Linked DNA regions of Notamacropus eugenii. The protein of the gene in region 1 purifies or fractionates together with the protein of each later gene. This does not show direct contact. Links are inferred from orthologs where the notes say so. Each region holds a gene or a part of one and is shown in the gene's direction. Other genes may lie near its edges.

Region 1 (10,441 bases):
ATCCAGTGTTTTTCAGAAGTCTGATATATCTAACTTTTCTAGAATACTATTCATCTCCTTTACTTCTTTCTTGTTTATTTTATGGTTAGGTTTGTCTAGGTCTAAGAGGGATAAATTGAGGTCACCTACTATTATAATTTTATTATCTATTTCCTCTTATATCTCATTTAAGTTTTCCTTCAAGAGTTTGGATGCTTTTCTACTTGATAAATGTATGTTTTGTATATTACTTCATTATCTATAGATCTTTAAGAAAAAAATGTCATTTCCCTGGTTATCTCTTTTAATTAGGTCTGGTTTTGCTTTTGCTTTGTCTGAAATCATACCTACCCCCTACCTTTTTTTACTTCAGCTGAAGGATAATAGATTCTGCTCCAGTCCCGTATTTTAACTCTTTGCGTGTCTTTCTGTTTCAGATGTGTCTCTCATAAACAGCCTATTGTTGGATTCTGGTTTCTAATCCATTCTGCCCTCTACTTTTCTTTCATGGATGAATTCATCCCACTCACATTCATAGTGTTTTGTTTTTTTTAAAATTTAAATAGTACTTTATTTTTTCCCCAATTATATATCAATAAAAATTTAGCTTTCATTTTTACAAGATTTTGAGTTCCTGATTTTTCTGCCTTCCTCCCTCCTTCCCCTCCCCTCTTCTGAAGATGGTAGGTTTATCCATATTTTGTCATCACATTCGTAGGATTGCTACCTGTAGACTTCTCACTATCATATACTCTTATATTCTTCCTTTTAAAAACATCCTTTCCTTTCTCAAGTCTGTTTTGCTTCTCACTCTGGCCTCCCTGAATCCATATTCATCCATCCTTTTATCACCACCCTGCCCCCCCACCCCCCAGTTCAGATGAGGGTGAGGTTCAGCCATTGTCTGCTCCCTTTCCCCCCCATTTTCCCCTCCATTTTACTTTTCTTTTGGGGGGAGGAGGCAGTCTAGGTTAAGTGACTTGCCCAGGGTCACACAGGTAGTAAGTGTCTGAGACGAGATTTGAACTCAGGTCCTCCTGACTCCAGCGGCAGTGCTCTATCCACTGTGCCACCTAGCTGCCTCTTCCCCTCCATTTGAAAATACATTCTTTCTAGTAACATGGCGGACCACCAAGCCTTACCACCTGCCCTTCCATTAGATGCTGAGGGCTTCTGGGCTTGGTATCTGCTTTGCATCTACACCTCCCAGACCCCTGCCCACTGAACCCTCAGGACTGTGGGGCCTCTCAGCTAACCTGAAGCAGGACTCCTCAGTCTCTCTTCTTCTGTGAATAGAGCCCTTTCTGAACATCTGTTCAGTCTTAAAATTCCAGCCCTCAGACAGCAGGGGCTATTTCATTTGTGTTCTCCAGCCTTTGGCTTTGGCACACAGTGAGCTCTTGATCCTTTTCCTTTCCTAGCAGAATGTCATCTCCTTGCTGCAAGGACTGGGGCTTGTTTACTTTTTGTATTACCAATGTCTTGTGCGTAGTAGGTACACAGTAGGTGTTGATTGCATTGTGTTCAAAGAGGAGAGTTAAATTGGAAAAGTCTTATTACAAATTAATCGCACACAGCCCCAACCAAAACAAAACAAAACCCCAAACCCCTCAGGATTGAGCGTACTGCTTGCCAAGGGTCCACATTCATTGTTTGCAATAAGAAAGCTAGTCAGCTTTCTTATTGTTGAAAACCAACTTCTCTGAATCCCATTTCATTTGATCCAATGAGTGAAGACCCATGTCCTTTGTGGAAGCCAGTCAGTCAGCTTCTGTGGCTGGGATGTAGCCTGCATGAGGGCAGGCAGGATAATGCAGTCTGAAGTCCCAGGGGGATGGACTTCCTACATTTGACAGAGATCTTGGTGTTTTCTGGCAGAACCAGAAGACACAGCTCAGTCCTGTCTAAGCTGGAGGCAGGGAGTCTGGTCAAGAAGCTGTTGTAGGGGATGAGGGCCTTTACCAGAGATAGTCCTAGACCTTAGAGCAATGCAGAGATTCTGGCTACTTCAGTGGTCCCACTCAGAGGCTTTTGGGGAAGACTCTCCAATTTCCTGATGCCATTTTGATCCTTGTTTAGCTGCAGAATGAATGGGGGTGGGTAGGGTGGGAATCACAGGGAGGGTCCCTCTGGTTCTGCTTGATATAGCAGGGTACATCCTGCCATGAAACAGTCAGTTCCCTCCTGAATAGCCCTCCTGTCTAAGCTCCTTTTGACTCCCTGTCCCTCCCAGCCAGGGCTCTTCCACAGCTACCCCATCTCCTGCAGGGGAACCTTCCAGGAGCGTGTCTTCCCTGAGGCTGCTCCCTGCAACTGGTGTTCATCCATTCAATTCAGAAATCAACTTGGAAAAAAGTTATTATTATTTCAGTGGCTTTCTTCATCCCAAATGACAAATTAAAGTCAAAAAATTTAGTCAGAGAGCTTTGGTGACTTTCTGCTTGAGCTCTCTGAAAGTAGAAGGTAAAGGCTTTATTTCTCCTTCTTGTGGTTCCTAAACCAGGTGACAGCAAGGGCTGGCAGATGTGGTGGTCCATGCACCTTGTCTGAGTGACAGGGATTTGGGGCCGGGTGGCAGTCAGCCACCGGCTGTAACCGGCCCAGCGATTTTCAGCCATTCTATCGGCTTTGACTCTGTAGCCGTTTGGTGCCCTACTTGGGGAGCCAGTGCAGCGGAGGCAGGTCAGTGTGTTGGCCAGCTTGGTCTGAGGCCAGGATACACCTTCCAGGGTGACCGTCATTTCCCATAGCAGGAATGGAACAGCTCAGAGAAATAAAGACATGGCATCCCTGTCTGAGGACACCTCAACCCCTGTGTCACCAAGACTATGCTCCTTTAGTCAGGGATGCATGTTGTAGGGAATGTATTGTCATTCCTAGGAGTTTGAGGTGTGCCCCTGGCGCTGGCCTGTCAGGGAAAGGGAGAAGGGCCCTCGGACATCTGCCAAGAGAGAAGGAGGGTCTTTGGTTCCTTTCCTGAAGTAAATTCATAGCCTTTTCTCTGTTGCTATCTACATTGCTCTTCCTGGATCATACTGAGGAACCACAGCCCTGCGGAAAGGAACTTGGGCCCCTTCAATAGCATCCTGTGTCCAGGAGCTCACTGTGCTTGGACTACTCCCTCTGCCAGCCCCAGCCTCCTCCAATAGAGAAGGTTGATTCAGGCACCTCCCTCTGCACACAGATCGGCCCTCTCCAGGGGTGTGTGACCTATGTTTGCTGGGCAGTATTGACACAAGGCTGTGAAAACAGAAGCTGCGTGCATTTGCGTGTGCATGTGAGGTCAGAGGGTAGGTCAGAGAGTGTTGAATGAGCCTGTGGGATTGAGCCAGGTGTTAGCAAGCTGGTGTCCATCGCTACAGCCAGTTAGCTTGACTGCCTTGGTTTGGGGAAGGAGCAAGAGAATGGGGATATTTTAACCTTCTGACTTTCAAATCTCCTAGTAGACAGGTTCTGTCTTGGATGATTCCCAGAAGTGAGCCAAGGGGACTAAGCCCTGTCTGGTCACCCATGTGCTGAAACCCAGTGCTAAGCCAGACGAGGGTGCTGGGTAAATGTCGTGGTGGTGATGCTGAAGTAGCATTCAGGGGCCATGGGCCAGGTCAGTGCTGCTGCTGGCCAGCCTTGACGTCCGGTGCCTCCCACAGGAGATGCATCATTCCTCCTTGTCGCCCTTTGGATCATCAACAAGAACCCCAGGGTAGCCCAGGTCTGGGGTTTGGCCAGTTCAGAACATTTGGCCCTGCCATGGGGAAGCAGGGAGGGGAGGAAATGAGCATTTAGGCAGTGATTACTGGATGGCAGGCACCATGCTAAGTGCTTTACAAATGTTATCTCATTGGATCCTCACAGCTACCCTTGCAGGTGGTACCATTAGTATCCCCATTTTATAGATGAGGAAATTGAGGCAGGTAATGGTTAAGTGACTTGCCCAGGACCCTACAACTAGTAAGTGTTGGAGACTGGGTTGAAACTCAGGTCTTCATGACTCCCGACCCAGCACCCTGTGCACTGTGGCTTCCCTTAGCCGCCATCCTGAGGAAGCAGGTAGGGTTTGTCTTTTCATCTCTGACCCCAGTGCCTGACTGTCATTGCCCAATCCTTATGATCCTTAGGAGGGGACTGCCTTTTGATTGCTGGACTGATTTGTCAGGCCCCTCCTCCTTCCCCACCCCTCTTGTGTGGGACCACATTGGGACCCTGGACCCTGTGACACTGATACCAATGGAGGCATTGGAGAGAAGAGCCCCAGGGTGCTCACCATGTCCTTGGCTAACTGGGTAGTGCAGGCAGAATTCAGAGCTGGCCCAGGCCATTAGGGCAGCCTGGTTGGCCACTGGGCAGGACATGGTCCTGGTTCATTCATCCCCTGTGCAAGCCCTAGGGCTTTGCTTCTGTGTTCCAGCCCCTTTATACCAGAACCTTCTCACTGAGCAGCATTTGCTTAGGAGACAGTAAAGAAGCCTGGGTGAAAATAAGGCTGTGTTCTCCTGTGACTACAAGTCTAGGACAGAGTTCATCAAGGTGTGCCGAGCCTGCCTTGGGGAAGTGGGAAGGGCAGTGAGCAGCTGGGACCTGAGGTGAGGGTTTTTACAAAGCCCTCCCTCTCTCTCTGGACAGCAGTGAGGATGTCTTAGAAAGTGTCTCCTTAGTTTCAGGAAGGGAGCTCCAGTGTCCTCAGTGGGTGGGAAAGGGGGCCAGGGGAAGTGCTTGGCTGCCTTTTCTTCCCTTCCCCAGGGCCCCTCAAGGTCTGGGAGAGGATTTCACTCCTGCCTTGATCCTAGAAAGTCAGGATTGTGAGAGCAGATCTATAGTCCTTGGTCCCACTAAATATTTGCTTTTAAGACAGCACTATCACAGTTTGCAAACATTCACCCTCACCCCCTGGAGGGCTGTAGTGTTGGGCACAAGTCATGCTGGAAAGGCGGGGTCCAGTTCCTTCTCCTCCTCTTCTCCTGCAGATCCCCCCAGACTCTCTGTGCCCTTTCCAAGGACCAGCCCTCCCTACTGAGGTGCCCAGCCAAGGTCCCTTTGGCACCTTTTTGGGTCTTCAGCACTGACTCTTGGGCCCTATCCTCTCATTTTCAAGCATTTGCTCTTTGCTGTCCTTGAGCTGACTCCTCCTCCCACCCCTTGTATCCATGAATGAGCCCCTCCCATAAACGTCTTCTTCCCCACTTGAGGGTGGGGCTGGCCTTCTCTTTGCTTATATTTCTGTAATATATAATGGTGCCTGGTATGTGATCGGTTCTGTATTAAACGATTGTTAACTGACTGAAAAAAAAAAAGCACTCCTTCCATTTTAGGTAGGAGCTCTGACCCTGCCATCCACAAGCTGATTCTTTTCATATTTTGATAACTGTTTCAATATTGGTGGCTCAGTGGATAGAGTGCCGGGCTGCAGTTGGAAGATCTGTGACTCCGGGCAAGTCACTTCACTCTGTTTGCCACAGTTTCCTCATCTGTAAAAGGAGCAGAAGGAAATGGTGAACCCCTTCAGAATCTCTGCCAAGAAAACCATAAATGGGGGTGATAAAGAGTTGGTCGTGATCACCAAATGACTGAATGATGTGTTTCGGTAGTGCAGGCCTGCACATTTTATGCACCCTTTAATTCACTGCTCTAGGGAGGGCCCCAGAGGCCTCTTAACTAGGCTGCCAAAGGACTATGTGGCCAAGAACCCCTGCTCCATTGGAGTCTTTATGGAAGGCAGTGAACAAGGGAACAGACCGTTATTAAGTGCCTACTATGTGCCAAGTGCTGGGTGAAGCACTTCCCAGAAGTTTTCTCATTTGAGAATTTGCCCTAAAAGTTTGGTGAAAAGTTTTCAGAAATGCTCAGAGTAAATAAAACATAAATCTTCAAGTTGACCAGATGTTTAAAGGGCTGAGATGGACCTTGTCATGCTTTTAGATGCTGACAGCAATGATCGCCGTGATTTCCAAAAATGAAGGACTGTGTGCTCACAGGGACCTGAGGCCACTCCTTGGCCAGCCTCGTCATCCATCTTCCACATGAAGTCTATCAGTAAGCCTCTGTTAGGGCCCTGATACAGGCTAGGCATCCTACTGAACACTCACTAAATGCCACAAACCACTACTTACTCTCTCAGGGAACATACAATCTAATGAAAGAGGTAACCTGCAAATAGCTTTATGTACAAATGAGTTATAGATCATAGATGGGAGATAATCCAGGGGAAAGTACAGCCATTAAGGGGGATCAGGAGAGGGAAGCCTGAAGGCAGGGTGGTCTGGGCATGGAGGACAGCCAGAGAAAGTACCCAGGATTGGCATCTTGTGGGAGGAGCAATGAGGAGTGCTTGGGAGAAGGGAAAGAACAGGATTTTCTTTTTGATCCTGGAGATAATGGGACCCTATTAGAGTGACTAGGGTTTGTGACGTGGGCTGAGCTGCACTTGGAGACCCCTTTGGTGATGCAAGCACCAGGCTATTGTTGCTATGGTTCACATGGGAGGGGATGAGGGCCTGCCCCCTGGGAGTGGCAGGTCAGGGGGAGAAAGGGTGAAGCTGACAGAAGTCCCAAAGGCAGAAATGACAAGACTCGAGACTGATTGGAAAATGGGCACTGAATAGAGGGTGAGGAGTAGGGGATGCCCCCTGGATTGTGGCCCTTGGGACTGGGGTGCTAGTACAGTGACAGGGCAGTTAGAAAGAGGAGAAAATTTGGGGCAAAGACAGTAAGTTCTGGTTTGGACATGTTAAATTGAAGTTGAATATAGAGGAAATGTTAGCCTAAAGTCAGGAGAGAGGTTAGGGTTGAAGGAGATGGGACGAGCAGCCAGAGCAGAGCCTTGGGGGACACTTGGACCAGAGCCTGAGGACTGGCCAGCTTGGTCAGAGAGTCAGCGGATTTAGAGATGATCCGGCAGAGGAGGATCTGAGGAGGACAGGAACCATAGTTGGATTTGGCGATTCAGAGATCCCCGGGTGACTTCAACGAAACTGGAGGATAGGAAATCTGACTGGAAGGTGTTCAGAAGCAGGTGAGGGGCAGGCAAGTGGAGGTGCTGATTGGAGCTCGTTTTGCCTGCAGGGATCTGCAGCTCATTAGGGATCTTTGCGGATGGGACGGATGCAGATGTTTGCAGACAGTTAATAAACTTTTATACACACACAAAAGACAGATCTGGACTTCAAGGAGCAGTCTAATTCGGAGAGATCCCCAGTTCAGGGGAAATGGAGAGCTGGCTGGAGAGGCCCTCCAGGCAGAAGGGCCCCGGGGCAGAGGTCCTGAGGTGGGCCATGGGGAAGGCCGGAGCCGGGCAGTGCGGGGGCAGGGGAAGGCAGGACTGGAGCGGGAAGAAGGACTTGGCTTGTGTGGGGAGTGCGATCCCGTCCCGGTCCTGGCCCGAGGCTGAGGCCAGGAGGAGCCTCTGCAGTAACAGCCCGCATCTCTGTGGCGCCTGCTGTGTGTACGCCCAGCGCAGTACTGAGAAGGTTCCCCAACCTGATGCTGTTGCCCCCTCCGGGCTCTCCTTGGCAGGCGGGCAGGAGAACGTGGGCGTCCGCTGTTGGCTGCAGAGCTCCTCGCCGTGTGCCCAAGTCCAGACCAAACCGCACAGCGCTCGTCTGTTTCGGTCTGGGTGGTCGTCGCCGGCTGCCTCCCCAGCGAGGGGCTGCAGGCTGGGCTTTGGGGCAGGGCACGCGCCCGGGGAGACGGCCGCCTTGGCTTTGCTCTGGCAAGCCTAGGGTTGCCAGGCCCGCCCCTCCCAGGTAGGCAGCCTGCCTGCTGCACACTGGGCCCTTGTGCTCCTGCTCCAGCCCGTTCTCCAGATGGGCCAAGGCTGCGGCCGTTTGTCTTATGGGGCGGGGCTTCGCCTTTCTCTGGCCGCCTTCTCATTGGCTGAGCCCGGGAGGGAGGGGAGCAGGCGGGCCGAAGTGCACCGGGCACTGGGTGAATGTGGTCGGACTTGTTTTCAGACTGCCGGAGAAGGGAGGGAGCCCCTGCCCAGCGCTCTGCCCCTACGCCCTCGCCCCTTCTGGGCTTTGCCTGGACCATGGTTGGAGACCATTGTAACCACCCTGGAGACAGAGCCGTGCTCAGCCCGCCCCCCAAAACTGGCCTGAGCTGCAAGATGGTCCTCCAGGCCGTGGGCAAAGTGCTCAGGTAACAATTCCCTGGGGGGAGGGGACCCCATTGGAGGGGCTGTCCTGGCAGGGAAGGGCAGTGGCACCCGGAGTGTGCTCTCCTTTGGAGGGGGGGGGCAGAAGAGCCCCGGCAGGCAGCATGCCTATGTCTGTCTGAAATCTTAGCTGACGGTTGTGTGTGTGCCCTGTGCCCCTGCCCATGTGTGAGAGAGAGAGTGTCCAGCGTGTGTGTATGTGTATGAGTGTGTGTGTACAATGGATGTGGATGAGAGTGTGTACAGTGTGTATGTACAGAGTGTATACAGTGTATGTATGTATGAGTGTGTGTAGAATGTGTGTGTACAGAGTGTGTAGAGTGTATGTGTGTTTATGGGTGTGTACAGCGTGTGCGTATGTGTATGAGAGTGTGTGTGTATAAGTGTGTTTGTGTACAATGTTTGAGAGTTGTATACAGTGTATGTATGTATGAGTGTGTGTAGAATGTGTGTGTACTGAGTGTGTAGTATGTATGTGTATGAGTGTGTAGAATGTGTGTGTACTGAGTGTGTAGAGTGTATGTGTGTTTATGGGTGTATACAGTGTGTGTGTATGACAATGTAGAGTGTGTGTGTACAGTGTGTTTGTGTGTTTGTGTAGAGTGTGTGTACTGAGTGTGTAAAGTGTATGTGTGTTTATGGGTGTGTACAGCGTGTGTGTGTACAGTGTGTTTGTGTGTTTGTGTAGAGTGTGTGTCTGAGTGCCCTAGACCAGAGCAGTACCTCTGAGCTGGAGGGGCCCCCTCCCTGCGTCTTAGAGAGAGCCATCCTGGAGGGAAATCAGGACACAAAGCTGGCGGTTACACAGTGAAACTTAGTGGTATAGCCCCTTAGACTCAGTGGCTTCTGGAGCTCTCTGAGCGCCTAGGATGGGTTCTGATGGGGAACCTTATTGGCGCCAGGCCATCAGGAAAGTCTGCCGTGGCCCAGGGACTCCCTCACAAGCTGAAGGAAAGCAGGGTGGCCATGCTTATTATGCTCTCTTCCCTTGGAGCCCCTAGGCACTTCCCAGACTCTGTCTTAGCAGAGCCCCCCAAAACCTGATTGGGTCATCTCGTGCTGATGGGAAGCATGTCCTACAGCCAGGAGACCCCCCTACCCCACTGTAGTCCAGAGTGGCCCCTGGAGTCTGTTTTGGCTGGGCCCCTTTGAGGAGACGGAACCCAGGGTGGGTCATTGCCCTTCCTTTGGGTTCTGCCCTTTCTCTGATGTTTCCCCTTCTTGTGAAGGAAGCCCTGGCACAGCCAGAGCCTTTGTTACCTGTGCTGTAAGCTGTGCTTTGGGAAAACTCAATTCCTCGGGGTGACTCAACCCGCGCCCACTGCCGGTTGTGTTGGAGGGCGGGTCCCCCTACTGCCGGCTCTGCCTTCTTGCTGGTGGTTTCTCCCCTGCCTGCGTGAAGAGGTTGGTTTAGGGCCCCGGTGGCTCAGGGCTAGTGATGCTGGCCAGAGCTCCAGAGGGTGGAATCCAAAGCCTCCCCCTCCCCCCGCCTACAGAGCCTACTGGGACCAAATGGATCCAAGCCTGTTCACACTTGTCTTAGAGTTGTCTTAGAGTTGTTGCTAACATGACCTTGTTCTTGGAGGTGTGCATTTGTGAGTGTGCATACGTGTGCCTGCATGTGTGAGGTACACACATATTATATGTTACTGAGAAGATGCATGTGTGCACACTCACATGTGCTTTTTTGTGAGCATTAATGTGGCGTGTGTGTGTGTGTGTATGTGTGCGTGCTTGTGTGAACAGGCACGTGTGTGAAGGAGATGGTGCTGTGGCCAGTTCATCTGCTTTCCCTGTGACCCCTTCTCCCTTTCCAGCCATCTCCAAGCAGAGGATGACTTAGTATGGACCACAATCATTGTATTTTTCTTGGGCTTTTCAGTTCTTTGATCCCAGAGGGTGCCTCAGAAGTGCTACAAACCAGGGGTGGGGATTGTTCTCTGGCTTTGCCTCCCCTGGCCTCTTCTGTTCCTCTACCCCTGGATTAGCCAGGGCTCTGGCTGCAGAGCTGCTCTCCCTCCAGCCCCAAAGGGAGACACCTCAGAGAGGGCTACCACAATCTCCTTTGTGGGATGGGGTGAGGGCTGAGGTGCAGCTCTCGTGGTCCTCCCTTCCATGTCTGGAGAGTGGTCCTTGAAGGGCCTGAAATCTGCTTCTCTGTCATTCCCAATGTTACTCCCGGCTCTCCCTGTATGAGGTGATGCAGAATGAGCCCGACCCTTCTGGAGAGATACAGGAAAAGCTCTCCCAGCCCTATAAGGGCTTCTGGCTGAACAGCCCAGGTGTCCCCAGCCAAGCCTTAGATGGCTCATACCA
Region 2 (10,888 bases), on another chromosome or scaffold:
GGGAATCAGCTGCAGTGATGGGAATTGGCATGGGCCTTAGTGGCAGCAAGCAAGTGTGACTTCAATGGCAACAGATGATGATGAGCTCCAGTGGCAGTGGAATAGGCGGGGACATTAGTTCAGCACTGGCACTGGTAAGGGAAGGCCCAGAAAAGCCTTTTGCTTACTATGATCCAGAAATCATAGGGCCTTTCCACATTGCTACCAGTGCAGTTACCGGACCATACCTTCCCAAGGGGGCTTTCTCAACCCTAAAGTGGAGCTGGGAAGTGGCTTATTTTCTTATAGCCATGCCTTAGTATTTACTCCAAGTTGGAGCCCACTCTTTCCATGGATATTGTGTGCCTTTGTGGGAGAAGCTTCCCCAGGTTTATGGGGGAAATGTTTTATACCTATTGATTTCATTATGCCATCTTAGAGCCTTCCCTAATTGCTAATTGTGTCTATTGGCTGACTGGTAATTAGAAGCACATTGGCAGGGCTTACAAGCTATGATGCCAGAAATGGAGTCCCATAAGGAATCGTTCACAGGTAGAATAGCATTGAGCTAACAAAAAATAATGTTAAAATATGAAGGTACCAGGTGATACCTTATCCCAGGCAAGTTACTCCTGAATCCAGCCCATCTTTCTCCTTTCAGTAACAACCTCTTCAGTACCGATCTAGAAGTATCCCAGGGTTTATATCTCTTTTCTACAGAATAATGTCCTGAGGTCTAAAATTTTTGACTGATGGTCACTCCCTCCCATTGAATTTGTTTTTGAAAATTAACCTCCATATTGTATGCCCCAAGGCAAGTTATAACTCTGCCCATCATTGTTTATACTTCTTAGAGTTGTAATTTTATTCATATGGATGCTCCTCCATAAATGGAAATTTTGACCTCTCTATTACTTAGTAGATGGTCTTTGAAAGTTGCTGGAAATTCATCAACCTGAGGTCAACCAAGCAACGAGACTATCCGAACTCGGATTGTTTTTCCTCAGAAAAAAGACATTATCAGTCGTCATCACCGCTATCACCACCATGATCATCATTAAAATTAGTATTTACAGAACATCTACTATGTACCAGGCACTGTGCTAAGTGCTTTATAAATGGCATCTCATTTCAGTCTCACAACATATATATATATATATATATACACATATATATGCATATGTGGTAGTACTAGGTTTGCATTCAAAATTTTTTTTTTCTCCTTGGTAGAACCTGCCAAAACTTGTACTTAACTGAAAGACTTTCGGATCACTAAGTTACCTTCACACCCTGATAAGGCCCTGGAACAGCTCTTTAGTAGGGTTTTATCATTCATGATAAATAAAACTCCTCCAATCATCAAGTAGTTTTTGAGTACCTATTATGTACTTAGCTTTAGGGAGGGTAATGCAATCAGTGTCTAGAACTTTACCTTTTCGTCATGCAGGTGGGTGGTGCTCTCAGCAGACAAAGCTGAACATCTTTTACTAAGTTTTTCCTTCCCCGGTCTATCTTACCAAGGTAATGGGTGTTCTGCCCATTTGGTACTATCATAAAGAAGAGTGAATGGCAGAATAGGGCTAGAGGTCAACGGTGGTTCTGTAGTAACACTCAGAACTACCACTAACTGCTTTGTCAACATAAACTGTTCTTAACAGGGCAGCAAGCATTGGTCCAGGCACTAACATACAGAGTCCAGGTGCTCCTTCTTTTCCCCTACACAACATTTCCTCTATGCTTGCTCTCTCTCCAGACCCCCAGTGGTCTCGTGGCTATCATATCCCTTTCCTGAGACCTGCCCTCCCATTGGGGAAGATTTCCTTCCCCCCTCCTTTCCACAAGCTGATTGGGCTGGGGATCCAGTCTTGGAGGATTGCTTGGGATAATGCAATATCAGCATGGCAATCATGGGGAAAACAGTATGGCAGCCATCCCCCAAGCCTCCCCGTAAATTTGGTCCCAGCCTTTCCCAGTTTCTATCCTTTTTTGGCTCTATGTTTGTTCTTTTCCATTTTAGGTGAAGGAAATGGAGTCTCCAACTTTGTGAGTTAGAAAGATCTGGAGGGGGCTTCAGGGGCATCAGGGGCATCAGCAGCAAGCTGGCCTTCCAGTCACGGTTTGCAGCCAGGGGAGTGTTGATGCCTCCAAGACAAAGAGAAGACTTTAGAGAATGACTTTCTGCACCCATGTCAGAGGCTGAGATGAAGACTTATGCAACAGCTATACTTCATCTGGACACGAAGTTGATGGGACCAATGCTACAAAGGAACTGAGCTAAATTTTGAGTGTGCTCTTCCCCAGACACTAAGGTTATACTTACTTAGAGGAAGAGTCTGTCCTTGAGGTGCTGGGGGAAAATGTTTGTACATTTGTTTTTATGATTTTTTGAAGTAAATATTTTTTTTATGGAATTCTTACAGTTTTACCTAATTAATCCAGGTGTTAAATGACTGTTATGTACCTGTGGGAATAATTTTCAACTTTTGTTCTCTAAGTTTAGAAAAGCTAACTTTGGATTTAAATTGAATTGGGAAACTAGTCATTGGTACCTAACAGAAAGGAGAATAGTCACTGGTACCTAATGGTAGGGACAATATAGCCAGTAGAGGCTCAGGTTAATGGAATACAGAAGAAAGACACTCCAACCCTCAAGGCACTCTAGAATGCTGAATGGCCAATATAGCAGCCTGGCTCTCTATGAAGTATAACTTATTAAATACAGATGAGGAAAATGAGGCCCACAGAAACAAAGTGATTTGCTCATGTTCATACAGTTAAGTGGGAGAGTTAGGATTTGCACTTGGATCCACTGCTTTTCAAATCTAGTACTCTATCTACTATACCCTGCTGCCTCAAGGAACTGGAATATTTTTGCTCTAAACTGACACTTGCATAACCTCACTCTGCTACCACCACTTAGCAATTATCTCTGTTCTTTTAAAATTCACTCCTCCCTCTTTATATCTTTTGCTGATATCTATGGACCTTCATGCAACTCTCTCTTCCTTCATAATTCCTAGGTTTCTCCTATTAACTCCTGTGACTTCAGTCTCCAGGTTACTTCAACAAGGCACAGAAACAGTTTCACCTTAGAAGCCCCTTTCTCTCTCTTCCATCGTATTTCACTGACTTTGCCCCCAGTGCTGGAATTCCTACAGCTTTAGTACCTAATTAATCCAGGTGTTAAATGACTCGGTCATATACCTGTGGGAATAATTTTCAACTTTTGTTCTCTAAGTTTAGAAAGTGATAATTATTTCAGATGGTCCCATTAATAATCATCTGTCTAAGCATGCATAATAAAGGCTCTTTGTTATCTCCAGGTCAAGCACCCTCAAAAACCTGTTGGGAGAGTTTGTGTACAAAGGTCTTACTTTATAAACTGCAGGGTCCATCCATTGTACTGGTCCTTTTCACCTCTTCTCATTTCGATGCACACTTGAAGGTTCGCTAATTTGCCCACTATTATTGGTTGATGAGAGAGAGAGAGAGACAGACAGACAGAGAGAGAGAGACAGAGACAGAGAGAGAGAGAGAGAGACAGAGAGACAGAGAGAGAGACAGAGAGAGAGAGGGAGAGACAGAGACAGAGAGAGACAGAGACAGAGACAGAGAGAGAGAGAGAGGGAGAAAGAGAGACAGAGAGAGAGAGGGAGAGACAGAGACAGAGAGAGACAGAGACAGAGACAGAGACGGAGAGGGTACAGGAGGACAGAGTTTAGTAACAGGGTGTTGATGAAGAGGGTGTAATCACAGCTTAGAACAAATGGCTTTATTTGGGGTATATTTATTTGAGGAACTCAGATCAATTAATCCATCCAAATACACTTGATGAAACACAAGAGGTTAGTGGCACAAACAAGGAGGGCTCTATTTCTATATAAAAGGGGTAGGACACTAGTTTGAGGTTTGGAAGAAACAATGGATTTGCCCCCACTTGTATCTTTCTCTCACTGCTCACTGTTGTTGGAAAATAGGAGAAATTTAGAGCTTAAAAGCAAAATAAAAACAAAAACAAAAACCCACTATATTAGCAATTGGGCTAAGCTAGTCAAGAGGAAAGTTTATTATGGAGGAGAAAACCCAGCTCTCAGGGAAGGCCTCAAGACTTTGCCCTCACCTTTACACTTGCATCTCTTGGAGAGTATAGAAAAGGGAAAGAGATTTCTGCTATTTATTAGCAGTGGGACCTCCACTTATGCTTATGGTAGCACCTAGTGGATTGGAATACTGTTGTGGAATCAAGATGGCAAGAAGAATTGAGAACCTGAGATCCTGCCAGGGAGATAGAAGGCAGATTTCCATTACACTACAATACTGGGAAAAGGGAAAAGGCACAAAAGTGAGAGAGGGGAAAAAACCCATTGAACAGAAGATTTCTTTTCTATTTCTTTTTGTACCTCTCCTGAAACATATAAGGTCTTGTATTAGCCTTCATTCAGTGCTGGAGGTGAACTCTCTGAATGAGGTTCTCTGGGGGCAATGACACCTTTATACATTGTGACATTCAGGAGGAGGGGAGAGAGGGATATATTTTGGTTCAGGCCTGCTTCAGGATTAGTACTAGAACTGAATGAAACACTGGTATTAAATATAACATCTTACCAAAAAATTACTAAACAATAGCATGGAATGTATATTCAGCAAAGATGCAGTACTGAGGCAGCTAGGTGGTTCAGTGGATAGAGCACTAGGTCTGGAGATGGGAAGGTCTGAGTTCAAATCTGCCCTTAGACACATACGAGTTATGTGACTGTAGGTAAGCTACTTAACCTCCATTTATCTTCATTTCCTCATTTGTAAAATGAGCTGGAGGAGGAAATAGTAAACCTCCAGTGTCTTTGCCAAATGAGTCGGACATGAAAAATGACCGAACAACAGTATTGCTTCCTTTCTGTACAGTTCTCCTTACCAGGTCAGAAGTGTATGATGAACCTGTGTCATGAACCTTAAATACCAACGGTGGTTTTATTGCTTTTTTTAACGTAAAATTTTGCCTGCCCTTTCTGGAATATATGCTGCTCCTAACACATTGTGTATTTTATAAGACCTTTAATACTTGGTCAGGGATAGAATGGTCAGCAGCCTTTAGGAGTTATTTCTTTTTGGTTAGCCCAAAACAAATTCTACCGTTCCACATCTAGTCAAGCTAACCTTGTTTTGTTTCTTACATATTTCACATTCCATCTTTGTGCAGGATGGTTCCCCAATGCCTACTCATCTCAGCCTTTTAGGATTTCTTACAAAGCTCAGATCAAGAGTTTCATTATACACAGGGACTTTCCTGATCTCTTTTCCCATTACCTTGTATTTATTTCGCTTATATTTTTGCTTTGACATATATTTTTATCTTCTTATGTATACTGTTTCCTCCTTTGGAATGGTAAGCTTTGTAAGGCCAGAGACTGCCTCATTTTTGTCTTTGTATAATTAGTCCCTGGCACAATAAAATGAAGGTGCTTGATAAATGCTTTTTGATAGATTAAATCCTCCCATGTAGGCAAGGAAAAGATTATCATTTTATAGGCAAGGAAACTGAGACTTGTGGAGGTTAGATCTACCTTGCTGGGATATTGTGAAGATCAAATGAGACAATATTTGTACAAAAGGCCTAGCATACTTGCTGGCAAATAGTAGGTATTACGTAAATGTTCATTCCCTTCTCTTACCTGGCACATCTGGTCACATAATGAGTCAAAACATGGTCTTCTACTTAAGAACTCTGATCAATGCAATGATCAATAGTTCCAAAGGACAGAATATAAAGAATGCTGCCCACTTCCTGCTACAGAGTTGACAGACTAAATATCTAGAAACAGAAACCCAGTTTTGGCCAAGATGGGAGCTTGTTTTGTTTGACTATGCTTCGGATTTTTTTTCCAATTTAAAAAAAAAATTATTTTTACTTTTGAATTCTCTCCATCCCCTTCCCAACCCACTGAGAAAGCAAGAAAAAAATACTTATTATATATGAAGTCACGCAAAACATATTTCCACATTGGGGGTGTGTGCAAGAAAAATAGAGTAAAGGAAACTGCTTCAATCAGCACGCAGAGTTAATCAATTCTCTCTGGAGGTAGATGGCATTTTGATCACACGTTCTTTGGAACTGACCTGGATGATTGTATTGATCAGACTAGTTAAGCTTGATTATGCTTGTAACAAAGTTTTTTTATTTTCTAGGGGGGAGAAGGATTAAAAAAATGCTTGATAATTGGGAAAAAATAAAATGTAATTTTAAAACCCTAGACTCTTAGGCTTTAAACCTTATGGCCTCATCAATAAATGTTTCCTCAGAAGTCAAAGGAGGAATTCCATTCGCCGCCTTCCAGCCATCCTTTGGGCTCGCAAATTCTACATTACAAAAAACCCAAACAACCCAGCCCACCCTGGAGATACCCACACAAAAACCAAACCACCAGCCACCGAACGTGGTGTATTGGCTCGTCCCGGCGGCTGCCCCGTCACCTCCAGCCAGACCAGGGTCTGCCTCTCTCGAACTTGACACCCAGGAAAGTAGTTGACTTGCTTTGATTGAGAAAGGGAAGGCACCCGTGGGCCGAGCGGCGCCCCCCCGGGGCTCCTCGCTCAGGTTCGGGCACAGCCAGGTGGCCGCGGAGGGAAGGGGAGGCCCCGAGAGCCAGGTGACGGGTGGGTGCAGAGCCGGGAGACGCATTCAGAGGCTGGCAGCCCCAGAGCGGAGGGGGACGAGGAGGGAGACGTGGGGGGCGAGGGGAGGAGACAGAAGAAGGCTTGGGGGGGTGACTTCAGGGGGGAGGGGGCTACTCCAGCTCGCGAGAGTTGGTGCCGAGGAGGCAGCTCGGAGATTCAGGCTCCGGCGCCCGAGTCCCCACCTCCCGGGGAGGCGGAGCGGGAGAGGGAGGAGGGGGAGCCGGGGAGGAAGTGAGGCACACGCACACTCACACTCACACACAAGAACACCAGCACCCGCACACACGCACGCACACACAGGCGGCTGCAGTCTGAGGGGAGGCAGCAGCAGGAGGAGGAGGCGAAAGGAGGCGAAGGAGGTGAGTCCCGCAGAGATGCCCACCTCGCCCAGTCCTCCGGCCGCTCTGTTCCCCACCCCCAGCCCCGCTGCCTCTCTCGTGCCCCCCGTCCTAGTCCCAACTCTGGTCAGAGCAAGAAGAAGCAGCAGATTCTCTTTGTGTTTTATTTTGGGGGGGGGGGCGGGGGGGAGCGCCCGGAGAGAGCCTAGCTCATCCCTGCCAAGATGTAGCTGCAGCTAGGGCCATGGTCCTTCCAGATCCCCGGGGCTGATATTGTTCCTGCCTGCCTGGAGAGGTAACCTGAAGGGTAAGGGAGGTATCTTTGTCCTCTGATGCTTCTCTTCTTGCCTCCCTTCCTCCCGCCTCCATCCTCCCTATTCCCCGCAAGTCCCTAACATAAACAATTTTCTGTCCCCTCACTAGTTCCTTCTAACCTCCTCGGTTCCCTGCCCCCCCAGCTGTTTGTTTGTTTATTTGTTTTAATGGAGGGGAAGGGTGCTAGGGATAACTCCCAATTGTGGGGGCTGCTTGATACGATTTCTAAAAACTGATGCGTCAGATTGCTAAACATTTCACTGATAGACCCACAGTAAAAAAAAATCCTCCGGCTCCCAAAAGCAGCACATATGTCAAAACCTAGCTTAAAAATTCACCGCCTTGATCCTGGAACCCTTTACCCTTTCCTTTTTAACAGCACTTTCTAGCCCTTTTTCCCCCTTTTCTTATGCTTAGTAAAGGGAAGAGATAGAAGCATTTTGGTTGGGGCAGGAGGGGAAAAGCTTGGACCTGAAGTGTAGGGAGCATGTCATCTTAAAAAAGTTGCCAGATTGATGTCTGTAGGACAAACTATTCTAAAAGCCAGGTGTTCTTCAGGTTAGCCATGTTAAACTCTGATTTATAATGTTGTTATGAATTATGTGTTTTAGAGCATTTAAAACAAAATAAAAGGTTTGGGTAGGGGGAGTGGATTGTACAAAAGAATGCTGTTGTTTACTTTATTACAAACACAAAGATGCATTAAGCAAATCTTTACCTGTTTCTTATAGTTTATGATAAGTTGTTGACGGGAACAAATGATTGGAAAATGGCTTGGGTGTATCACTTTTCCATGTCTGATTCATGGGTTTTTTCTTTCTAAACTTGAAAGTGGAAGATGTACTGAGAGATTTCTAGTGGTGTCTTTTTCTGTACTCTAACATGTCAGGTCACTCTGCTTGAAACTTCTTTTTGGAATTCTTAGTTTTATTAGCCAGCTGCAGTTTTTTGAATGTTCTTTGTCTAAAAACTATACATGACATTGGAAACCCCTTTGTGTTTGGCTAACCATTCTCTTCTTACTGTGCCTCAGGATATAGACAACAATTAAGCTTATTATACCTTCTTAAAGCCAGCTTTCCACCTTTCTTTTTAGTAGCTCAGTTCCTGTAGGTGAAATAGCCCCTCTTGTGAGTTCAAAGTAAAACATTTGCCTTAAACGACATAACTGCCTTTGGATTGGTGATGGCTAATTCCATTTCAAAAAGTGGATTGAATTGTTTTATCATTATTCATTTAGAACAGCAGTAACCAATAAAACTTTTAATTTAATTTAGTACCTTTTTTTTGCTCTTCTGGTCAGGAGTTAAGATGGCTGATGGTAGTTTTCAAATCGATTAAGATGGGTATGAGATTTTTTTTTAAAAAGGACATTTTTATAATACTTTTAAGTTTATCAAAGCCCTTTACAAATATTATCTGATCCTCTCAACAATCCTTTAAAGTTGGTAGTAGAAGTACTAGCGTAACATTTTGCAGCTGAAAAAAGTAAGGCTTAAAAACCTTAGTTGACTTTCCCATGGTCAAAAAGTATCTAAAGTAGAATTAGAACACAGGTCTTCCTGACTCTAAGTTCAGCACTATATCCACTACACTAGATCGTCTCTCAAAAAAAACCCCAAACAAATAGATATAATTTATGAATTGATTTATTTGAATTTTTGAAAGCTGCCCTGGTATTGGAGAATGAAAACCATGAACTTCGTAAAATTATGTGCTAAATAGGAATAGTTAGTCTTTTCTTGCTATTTGTACTTTACAGAAGAGCTAGTTTAGTCTTAACCTTAGCACTGACTTATTTCATTACTCCCCCCTCCCTAGTAGAATGTCTATGTGTTTTTGTCTTTGGATCCCCCTGCCTAGCATGGTGCCTTGTACGTAGCAAGTACATAAAAATATTTGTTGAATTGGCTTGACCCAGTCCAAATCACTAATATACTAAGCCTCAGTTTTCATATCTGTAAAATGAGGATGCACTGCCAACCTCACAGGAGCATTGCCAAGGTCAAATGAGATACTGTACAGCAAAGTGATAGACAAATATAAATGGGAGCTGTTAATTGTATAGGTAATTTTTGTTGTTAGAACAAATAAAAACTCAGGTGACTGGGAGTATTTGTGCAAGCATAGGATTTCTGTCCTTGCCAGTTTTTTTATGCTGAAAGGTTACTTTAGAGAAAAGGGGGAATGTCTCAAGTTCTCAGCACAAAGGAGAAATTGTGCTTTTCAGAAAACTATGGTTTTTTTTTTAAACTATTGACTCGGTTCTGATATTTGCCTTAGGTAAAGTGTTTCAGCACGAAGAGTAATGCAAAATCAAATGCTGAAATTTCATTTTATTTTATAAGAGTCTTTTGTTTGCTGTGACAAGGTATAAATCAGACAAACAGTATTGTAATTGTGATGGTGATCACATTAAAATGAGCGGGGAAGGACCAGTTTTGTTTTGGTTAGAGTTAACATCTTCAGAAACTGTTACTGTACTGCTGTTTTAAATAGGCTGAGTTTTGTGAATGGATAACAAAGCTAGCTTTTAAGGCCTTAGATACAATGTAATATAATTGCAATGCGTGTTACCACTACTTCAAGAATGTAATACGAATTACTACTTTGTCTTATTTTCTTTTCTAAGTTAAAAAAATATTGAGCTTGAGATTCATGGTACTTGCTTTAGTCTTTGTAAAACCTAAAATTAGTCTTCATGGGAAGAGAGATTTTTAATTGACCAGATGAAATTGTTTCAGGATAGTCAGATGATAACAGATGAAATGGATGGTCAAATTCACAATGATTAATCTTATGTCTAGTTTCAGGGAGTTAGTTTGTGCCATTGTACTGCTCTAACTAAATTTAGGAACAAAAGGATAATTTTCCTGGAAGAAACTTGAAACAATGAAAAGCCAGATAAGTAAGTAATCTTTCAAGTACCTTTAGATGTTAATTCATTTTGGACATCGCCCTTCGTGGTACAGATAGAATCCTTTCTACTGGTGAGAATCCTTACTGACAGTTGCCAATTTGGATTTAAAACAAGAAATTAGACTTGTTTGGGTATTAACTAGCCTATATCTAATGACAGTCTTAAAGCATTCATTATTGTGGCTCACAATTTGCCAGACTATTGAATCTTCGGAATTTTTTAGCTGAACTCTAAAGTCAGAGTATATTTAATAGGTGTATATCATTGTTCCTAGTTCTTATTTAAACAAATAGCTAAATTTTTAAAAAGAACTGAGATAGGGTTTTGAATAATTTCAGAACTGAACAAGTGTAAAGGAAAAGGAGTGAATTTATATTTCATATCTGGTAACTTTTCTAAATCCTTTCAGACTAGAATAAAAAGTATTCTTATATTTTATTATTGCTTCTAAAACTTTTAGGATAGGAGATTTTTTGTTATTTGTAGTGTTGGAATAATACATTGTAACATTGTTATTGGGAGTGGGTGGGTAGGAAACTGTGATTTTTTTCTTCTGAACTAGGAATCAAGAAAACTTCTGTTCAAATCTCATTACTTTTGATGTGATTACTAATCTAGTCACTTAAGCTCTGGGAGACCAAGTTTACACAAAATGAGGATAATA

What was found. Proteins that work in one complex are often made in the same cells at the same time.
Region 2: the proteins of MOB2 (region 1) and STK38L purify together in Homo sapiens (affinity purification with mass spectrometry; 9 studies listed by BioGRID and IntAct, counting the BioPlex papers as one, with this or other methods). This does not show direct contact. The link is inferred for Notamacropus eugenii from reciprocal best matches to the Homo sapiens genes MOB2 and STK38L.

What each region holds. Positions count from the first base shown.
Region 1 is NC_092873.1:26,425,964-26,436,404, forward strand, and holds the start of MOB2 (MOB kinase activator 2), read left to right. Parts: upstream 1-6,487; 5' UTR 6,488-6,578; intron 6,579-7,922; 5' UTR 7,923-7,999; coding exon 8,000-8,109; intron 8,110-10,441. UniProt on the Homo sapiens protein: Stimulates the autophosphorylation and kinase activity of STK38 and STK38L.
Region 2 is NC_092874.1:178,339,408-178,350,295, reverse strand, and holds the start of STK38L (serine/threonine-protein kinase 38-like), read left to right. Parts: upstream 1-6,773; 5' UTR 6,774-7,010; intron 7,011-10,888. UniProt on the Homo sapiens protein: Involved in the regulation of structural processes in differentiating and mature neuronal cells.